Linked DNA regions of Drosophila melanogaster. The protein of the gene in region 2 interacts with the protein of the main gene of each other region in a pairwise test. Each region holds a gene or a part of one and is shown on either strand. Other genes may lie near its edges.

What was found.
Region 1: the proteins of slmo (region 2) and IntS10 interact in a two-hybrid assay, tested with the Drosophila melanogaster proteins (one large-scale study listed by BioGRID).

What each region holds. Positions count from the first base shown.
Region 1 is NT_037436.4:3,804,681-3,809,699, reverse strand, and holds IntS10 (integrator 10), read right to left. Parts: upstream 2,991-5,019; 5' UTR 2,889-2,990; coding exon 2,689-2,888; intron 2,636-2,688; coding exon 1,591-2,635; intron 1,535-1,590; coding exon 884-1,534; 3' UTR 610-883; downstream 1-609. Other genes in the region: CG32262 (uncharacterized protein), read left to right, coding at 1-424; ntc (nutcracker), read left to right, coding at 3,741-3,879, 4,936-5,019. UniProt on the Drosophila melanogaster protein: Component of the integrator complex, a multiprotein complex that terminates RNA polymerase II (Pol II) transcription in the promoter-proximal region of genes.
Region 2 is NT_033779.5:6,046,093-6,050,551, forward strand, and holds slmo (slowmo), read right to left. Parts: upstream 2,615-4,459; 5' UTR 2,552-2,614; coding exon of another isoform or gene 2,018-2,551; 5' UTR 1,689-2,017; coding exon of another isoform or gene 1,647-1,688; 5' UTR 1,609-1,646; coding exon 961-1,608; 3' UTR 559-960; downstream 1-558. Other genes in the region: CG34179 (uncharacterized protein), read right to left, coding at 1,647-1,688, 2,042-2,551; IPIP (inositol phosphatase interacting protein), read left to right, coding at 2,785-2,845, 2,919-3,254, 3,322-3,540, 3,982-4,256. UniProt on the Drosophila melanogaster protein: Required to regulate peristaltic movement and also for germline proliferation in males and females.

The DNA.
Region 1 (5,019 bases), on a different chromosome or scaffold from region 2:
GTACAACTGGATGGACAGGGTAATGCCGGCTCGTACGCTAAAGAACATCTTCAAGAAGATCCTGATTGACCAGCTGGTCATGTCGCCCGCCTGCATCGTCATATTCTTCTATTCGCTTTGCTATCTGGAGCGCCAGACCCTGGACGCCACCAATCAGGAGCTGATCTCCAAGTTCCCGTATGTTTACATGCTGGATTGGATGACCTGGCCGGCGGCGCAGTACCTGAACTTTCGCTATTTAGACACCAAATACCGGGTGACGTTCGTCAATGTGTGCACGGCTGTTTACAATGTGCTCATGTCCTACATGAAGCACGATTTCGGCGTTCACCTCCCACTGGAGGAGAAGTTAGTTGCGTCCTCCGAGCAGAACCTATTGCCTCAGAGTTCAACGACGAGTCCCGATGCCCAAAAAGCCGTTTAAGACAGAACGAATAGGAATCGCGGAATAGGTGTGATATCGACAAGAAACCAAATTATTTAGTTATTGTGAACACGAGGGTTATTATGTAAATAAGAGGCTCTTAATACCAATAAATATGCATGTTTAGTACACAACTGGTCCTTTAACATAAATGCTTAACCAAGAAATAAGATGAATCATTTTAAGTTATTGTTAGTCGATCAATTATATTTATTATACCCAAATTAAATTAAAACTACATGAAGTTTTAAATTATGCGTATGACTAAATCGAAACATATCAAATGCAACCTCTAACTATGTTATCAGCTGATAAAATAAATATTTGTTTATTCGATAAGCGAAATACACCAGTCTAGACTGGTGAACTTAAATATAATAGTCGTATGTATTAACCAAACACACAATGTGTAAGATAGCTGGAAAATAGATATTTTATAAATGTTACCTCCTAGTTATTTCACTTAATCACAATCGTCTCCACGGGCTGACTGATTCCAAAGATGTGCTGCGCCAGCATCAAGTGTTCTTGGTTAATGAAATTCGCAAGCAAAGTGATCACGTTCTCATTGCAGCGGGCAATCTGCTGGCGTGTTATCGCCCTGAATTCATCTCGGGCTCCTTTGTCCGCTCCACGGGTGCCAATTCTTCGGCTTTGGGAACCACCAGCTACAGTGGTCGCAGTAGGTGTGCCACTCGAATTTGGCGAGCTGGTCAACTCAAAGTTATCCTCCTGCTGGGAGTTCCAAATGTGCGAGAGTTCCTCGAGCAAATCGATATTAATAATGTAGGTGGATAGGGTGCGCAGATTGAACGATTTCCGTTGCTTGATCAGGTTAAATATCTGTTGAGTGAGCAGAACATCGTTGAGTAGATTAAGTTGCTGCAGCACTAGGATATCCCCTAGCAATCGATCTGGAACGTTCGGTTCGAAGACCTTGCGACTCAGTCTGCTGATGATGGCTCCCACGCAGTACTGAACCAACGCTGATCGAGTGAGGGGCAGAAAAACCATGTGCCTGTGGCCCTTCAGCGACATATTCTCCAAAAGTTGACCCTGGGTGGTGGGGAGTTCTGACAGGATCTTTAAAATGCACTGGAAGCCCTGGAGCTGTGTGAGAAATTCATTAAGGTTTACCCATGTGAAAAAACTGGCTCTCTACTTACCGTCATGCTGCCTTGCATTAGATTAAGGCTCAAGATCTGCAGGCTTTGCACCAGACTGCTCTGGGTGGTCATGTCCGCCATAAGCTTGTTGGCCTCATCCCGGTGTCCGAAATATATGGCCAAGTCGAAGAGGAATCTTGAGATCCAAGGCGCCAAGGGAAGAGCCAGCATAAGTTGACTGAAATCCCTTTGGAACTGATCCGTATTGAGCAGCTGCCAGCACTGGGCGGCGTGTAGGAAGGCCTTGGATAACTCTGGACTTATGGCCGTGGTCAGGGAGAATTTCGGTGGCTCCATGCTGGGCACTTCGGAGCCATCACCTTCCGGCGACCATTCCATGAATCCTTCTACCAAAACATGAGTTACATCGGCATCCTCGATCCTCAGCTTACAATTTCGTATATAACCATGAAGGGAGTAAATGAACAAGGTGGTGGCGTAGAACAAAACCTGGGAGCTGCCCGCAGGACTGCCGGAAAGTATGTCCACCAGCTTTTCCCAGTAGACGTTCTGGTTGACATGCTTGCTGAAGGGCAGGAAGGGCTCCCAGCCCATCATCTGACCGCAGATCATCAGCACTTTAAAGATGTTCTTCCAGGCATCTGCTGTATCCGATTCATCCATTATTTGCCGCAAATAAAACTCCAAGGAACTGGTATAAAGTCTGCAGGCCAGATTTGGCGAAAGTTCCGGGGGCTTATTCTGGATCATGGGCAATACCTCCTCCACCAGAATCCGCTGATAGAGATCCGGTTCGGTTTTCATGCCCTCCGCCAGCATTTCCAGTAGCCTGGGAGCCTGAGTTATGGCTGATTTGGGAAACTTGTTGAACATCAGTATGTAGATATAGATGCGCTCCAGATTATCGGCACTGTGGTTGATGGTGTGCATGAATATGTTGTGCTGTACTTCCGGAGTTAGGTGCTTGTACATTTTTACATAGAACTCGTGTTCCGGCGTAGTTTCATTCTCATTTCTGAGGGCATTTGTTAGGGAGTTGATCTCCTGCCACAGCTCCGTATGTTGATTCTGGAAATTGGTGGCTCTGGAACAGTAAAAGATAAAGTAACTGGAATAGATGTGCTATTGTATACTCACATAGCACTGAAACACTTTGCTGCCTCCTCATAATTCTGAGCATCGCGTTCCAGTAGATAAGCCTCGTATTGCAGGTTGAATGCATTGGGATATAAAGTTTTAGCTGTGATAATCCAGGCCATGGCCGCGCAAGGATCGCTTTTCCGGAGTCTTTGCGCCTCCTTGACCATGTACAACTCATTTTCCTCTTGGCTCGGCATGTTTCTTCGGGTATATCTTTTGTTTTTATTAATTTTCTCCTAGTTTCAACAAAAACAAACCATTTAGCCGGCTATTAGGAATTTATTTACTAGCACTGGCCATATTTTTCTATTAGGGATGGGAACTATTGGATCTAGAAACTAGCTAGAGATTTCAATTATTTTCAAAACGCTTGTTTAGCATAGTGCGCTTGTTTTAGTTACATTAGGGCTGGCGTTATTGAGTCATTTCAACCTAAAACGCTTTTTATATCAATATATGTTCGGTGAATTCGAAGATATTTAATTTTCAGCTTGAATATAGCTAGCTTAACAAGCGACTCTCTCCTCATCTGCAATCGATAACAGCAGCGGCAGTAGTGTTGCATAGTAGCTGCCAGCCAGCTGATTATTCGCTAAATAACCAATTGTTTTTTCGCGAATTTTTCAATTTTCTGTGATTTTTGCGGCTACAAAATCGAAAACTATATTAAGCAAAATACATACGAACCTGGCAATTGCGACTGCTTATGTAATATCTGTGACAAACCAAGTTTTCTAGAAAATACCTGCCGATGCGTCGTTGCGCTTTGTTTTTGTTGCGTGAATAAGAATCGTTGGATATTTGTACATTCGCAATTTGTTGTAAATATGTTTAAATCTTAAGTGCCACAGCTTATCAACGAAGTAATATAATTGCGATTCCCTCCTTTTGTTAATCAGTCCCACTATATAGCACTAAATATAAAAATTGAGTGCACAAATCGCAGTATGCCCCATTTTCTGATTGTCATTCCGAAAACAAACAATGACAGTCGCATTGAAAGTTTAAATCAAATCGTTTCCCAGAAAATTCGTACGTAAATATCTGAAATGTCAGACACTAAATCCGAAATTGAGGGCTTTATAGCCATTCCCACGACATCGGGCGAACAACAACAACAACAGCCGCAACAGCAGCAAAATGAGCAACAAGTGGTCGGCACAAAGGACATTAAAGCTCCTGATCAGGGTAAGTTGTGTAATATTTATAGAAACTTACTAACTTACTTAAGAGCGCTCTATGTAATTGATAAATGGCCTGCAAATAACAATCGTTCATTAGTATCTTATCATATTCTATATCGTAAAATAATCTTAAAAAATACGATTATTGTATATATTAATATTTAGTTGAGAGTATCACTGATATCTAGAAGTTATTCATAATCTATAATAGAAATCATTATTTAATACATATCACTTAACAATAGATACTCATAAATCATGATAAACAAGACAACGTACACTAATTCATGCATTATGCTAATAACAATCTGCTCATTCTATAGATATTTTTTTAACAAATTTATTTGTACCTGTTTCTATTGTTAGTTTATAGAGCAATGTGTTTTTCATCCACGAATTATGCATATCTATTTACTCATACCTTGAATCACTTAACTTGAATGAAGTTCCTTAGACTTTCATTCCAAGATCGGCGACTCTCTTCGATGAATCATCAAGTTAACCCCTTCGAATAAAAGTAACATAAATTCCGAAAAACCTGTTTGATTATTTTGTAAATTGCTTCAAAAATGTGACGTTATATTTATTGTAATAATAGCCGTTTTAATTGTTCAGTTCCAACTTGTTTAACCTAGTGTCTTATCAAATATATTATGTAAACACAAAATAATTCTAAGTTTGATTAATTTTACAATTTATTTTAAAGCAAATTGAGTAGTGAATTAAATATTTATGTCGTGTTAGACATAATTTTATTTACAATTTCTTTCGTGATTTGTTTTTGAATGCAAGTGTTAATTTACTTAATTTATTTAAAGTTCTACATCAGTCTTAAAGTCTTAACGGGAGTTTTGAGTTTACTTCTGTGTTCTATATTTTGTAGTGTCAAAATGTATTGTATATAACTACCGGTTTGAGTTGTTGCTTCCGAAATCCGCACATAGCAGGTTTGTTTCTGCAATTTTCAATCTTCTCCTAACCAACCAACAGCACAGACAATTTCACTAATCATATCCTCGAGATTCTGTTTAAATATAAATACAAATAAAACTCGTTGCAGTGGGGAAAAAGCAGCGACCACGTTTGATACAAGAGAAGAGCACCCAGGAGACAAATCCGTTGATCCTGGAGCATGCTACTCTGG
Region 2 (4,459 bases):
TTTCGTAAATTGTACCCATTGCGTAACTTGCAAGGGTTAATGCTACACGGGTTCAATGAACCAAATAGTTTAATTGTAATTCGTAAGGATTACTTGTTTATTTTGATTAAAAGCTTACGAAAACTGCTAAATAAATAAGTTACTTCTTTTGATAAGTTAGGTAAAAGTATTTCACCTTGTCCCTAGAACACCTGCTGTTTGATCATCAACTTGTTTCCAAGCACCCACTTTCCCCTTCAATCACATTCTTCGCAACTGTTGAACCAGATAAGGGACATATCAGTTTCCATGTCTGCGATGCTAACTAGGTACACAGTTGTTGAGCCACTAGGCACGTGGGCTTTTGATGATAAGCGAATAAAACAGACGCCAAAAATCGCTAATCAAGTATGTATGTAGAGAAAAAACCCACAAATCGACTTTCTTGGGTTTTATTTATACACAGAATGCTTAAAATTGCTGCAGTTGCACATGCGAACGTCATGCAAATGCAAAAAAAAAAGACGCAGTACAAGTGTGCTGCGAATTAAAATTAAACAATTGAACTTGACACTGGCTGGTCGTAGGCAAATATGTCGTTTAATTGCTCCTCTCGTTCTTCGAAATCTGCGGCGGCTTACAAAGCTTACATTGACTATGTACTTTAGGTTTATATATATATTGATCTGCATGAATGGGGGCCAGCATTAGCGCGAGTTCCTTCCAGTTCAGCCATTCGGGGGCACTTCTTTATCGACATGACTCATTAGCAGTCGATTCGTTCGAAGGGGAGTAATAATTATAAAATATATGCATTGAATGGCTTGAGAATAGAGGAAGGTGTTGCTGTCCCACATGTTGCTGTCCATGTCCATCGTGCCATCGATTAATTAGTTGTACTAAAACGACGACCGCGCGCCATCTAAATAATTCACTAGTGAACAGCCCCCGCGCGACCTTGCACTGTCGCCTTGTCGACACCTACGTAATGTGCATCGCCTTCGCCGCCTTGGCGGCCTGCGCACTGATCTCGTCCATGCTCTTCCGCGCGCTCTCCGTCACCTCGTCGATGGAGCGCCGTGTGTTGTGCAGAAGTTCGTCGGTGCCGCGAGCGATGCCCTTGACCTCCGTGTTGATCAGCCCGATCACCCACTCCAGGCCCTGGCGTCCCTTGCCGGCATTTGTGCTAATGGTCGAGGTGAGCAGGTCCTCCATGTAGTGGGACAGCGGCACACCAAAGACGGTCACGGTGGCCTCCTGCTTGAGCAGCGTCTTGCTGGCATCCGACGGATGCGGCTCATAGTAGAGCACCTCGTCCACGCTGATGTTGCGGCAGAAGGTGAGGTTGTTTGTCTTCAGCACCATCTGTTTGCGCTCCGGGTCCACCGTGGAGCGTTCGCTGGCGAAACAAGTTTTGGCCGTGCCGATCAGCGCGTGCGTCCACTTGGGGAAGTACCACTTGGACTGCACCAGGCGATGCGTGTGCAGGACGCCGTCCACCACACGGCGCTCGACCACGTCCGTGCCAATGATGGAGGGCGTCATCGGATTGGGGTACTTGCGCCACGCCGCCTGCGTGACCGTCTCCCACGGGTGGTTGAATATGTGCTCCGATGTCCAGATTTTCATTATGCAAGCGCCGTTGTCGTCACCGTCCGGGGAGGGCTTTATATCCTTAATTGGCAGCCGAGATGCGGGCTGAGCTGAGCCTGCGGGGGCAGACGGAACGGAATTAAACAGGGGGAGCGTTAGCTGAAGTACACGACTCGAATTTTGACGGCAATCTCGGAATTATTGAATATTTCCGAGACAAGTTACGAGAGCTGACCTTTACTCGTGCTGTGCTGCTAGAGATGACAGTGGCTCCGATAGATGGGGCTATCGCTGGCCAGTGCATGGGCTAGGGTGGTCACACTGGCGCAGTAAGAGAAAATGAAAGTGCCGCAGGCACCCTGTAGCGGTAACTTATTTATTAAATTTATAAACTAAATTAATTCTAAAAGTAATGGCGGCACTTTGACATTGCACGTGCAGCTTCCTATTGCGGCCCGAAGGTACGTACGTATTTCTCGTAGGGCCGTTTATCCAATCGCTGTAGTCGGCTCTCCACGAGCTCCCGAAAGTTGTGTATTACCTCGGCATCCGCCTCGATTAGTTTCCTCTCCTCGTTGATGATCTCGGCCAGCTGCTCGTCACTGTCCGCCGCCGCCCGACGTGACACCGAGCCCTCCAGACGAGTGCTGATCTGGTTGACTATCTTCTCGCTCTCGTAGTCCATTATCTTGGCCAGCGCCTTGGCCGGCGTGCGCCGCGCATAGCGTGACTCGGGTATGGTGGGGGCATCCAGGTACGACTCCTCCTGCACCGCCAGCGTGTGCGGCTCCTGCTGTTGCGCGTCTTGCTTCAGCTCCTCATTTGTGTACTCAATGAATTCCTGCAGGGAGGGCTCATCGGGATGCGTTTCGCTGAGCGTGGAGTTGTTTTGAAAATTGGTCAGGTGGAATGTGCCATTGGTGTCGTAGAACTTGTAGCCCAGCATCTCCAGCGCGATTTCCGTGAGTAAGTACGACATTTCGCAGGATTCAAAATTCGTTTATGTTTGCAATCTACATTGAAAACTAGAAATTCCGCACCCAGCAATCGATAACCGGTGGAGGTGTGGCAGCACTGGCCATCAGCTGTTCGCGCAGCGTCAATTGTTTCTCGCTTTGCATTTTTTTTACCTGTTCATCACAATAATAAGAGACGAAAGGCGGAAATAGGACACCCATATTTGCTTCGAATGCAGCCCGAGACAGTGCAGCCATGAAGATCAACGAGAAGAACCTGTACGTGTTCGCGAGAACGCCGCCCTTCGACATGGAAGGTATGCAAGCGAGCCCTTTCGCTCGTCTATTAATAATCATAATCCATTTATCACACACCGATACGCCTTGCAGGCTTCCTCAACAAACGGGGCGAGGTCAACAAGGCCTTCCAGCGACGCTACTTCGTGCTGAAAGGCAACCTGCTCTTCTACTTCGAGTCGCGCTTGGACAAGGAGCCCTTGGGCCTCATCATTGTCGAGGGCTGCACCATTGAGCTGTCTAACGAGGTGGACAACTACTGCTTCGAGATCGCCTTCAACGGCAATCGCACCTACATCCTCGCCGCCGAAAACCAAGACAGCATGGAGACGTGGATGAAGGCGCTAACATGCGCCGGCTACGAGTATAAGCGCATCATCCTGGCCGAGCTAAAACGCCAGTTGCAAGAGATGGAGGACGCAAGAAACAGTGAGACTGCACAATGGCTAATCCTACAATCCCTGTGCACTAATCCGCTGCGTTCTTTAACCTACAGAGATGCTCGGCAGCGCCTTGGACGGACCACAAAATGCATCGGAGAGTGCGAAGCCTAGACCGCCGCCCAGGCGGACAAATCCATTCAACAGACCCGCTCCTCCTCCACCAGACAGTTCGCTGAGGGGCGGAGTAGTCATGTCGCCCCTGCCATTTATCAACGGATACTTCGGATCGAGCAACGCGCGCCTGCAGCAGGAGAAGCTAATGAGCAAGCAAGGTATGAACACGTACTCTTAAAATGGATGTACAATGCTGTGGGTATAGTAATGCAAAAATTAACTGAACGGAAGTGACCAAATTGAAAGACGAAATGAATCACCATGTTCGGGGCTTTGAGTTTTAAAAGCTAATTTTAAGTGGGAAACTTGGCCAATAGATAACCGCAGAACTACAACTTTGCCTAAATACAATCATACGGCATTTTTCGGCCCCAAAGCCAGCTGTTTGTTTGTCCCAATACAATGTGAGTCTACCGTTAGTAGAAGCTAGAGATAAGAGCAGAGTGCTCTCAGTATAATCCGAACTTCGATTGCCAGCTTATCGTTGCCATTTACCCAGAGCCGATCTAATTTAGTCAGCGGAATGCCACTAAGCGACATTCTCTGCAAAATCTGTTGCATATTCCCAAAGCCAGGCTACAGGCACTTTCTACTTGCAGACGCAAACGGAAACGGAAGCCCCAGCGGAACGCCCAGGGCCCAGCGCCGTCCCACGCCCGCTCCTGCCATCGCGAACAGCGTCTTCTATCCCGATGTCCGGGATCCGGGAGCGGCCAACAATAATCACAGCACCGTCAACGGTGCTGAGCGCCAGCGTCGCCAGGTCAAAGCACTGGAGGAGTTCGCACGCAACCACGAGCGCTTTCGCAGGGAACTGATGCCGGATGTGTCCGCTTACCGCGAGCGCCAGGGTCAGCCGCTCATCCAGTTGTGATGTAGGAGTGGGCTGCTCCGACAAAAAGCCAATGTATTACCCGTTTTGTGCTAAATCAAATACGTTTCAAATGAACTATGCTTAATTTCCATACATGTTTGTTTCAATAAACAAAACTTTAGATATAACAAATTTCGGCGATCATGGCGCACTCAGTTATGTGGGCATACTAATAATTGGGTTTTTTAGGTTATTTGTTAGAA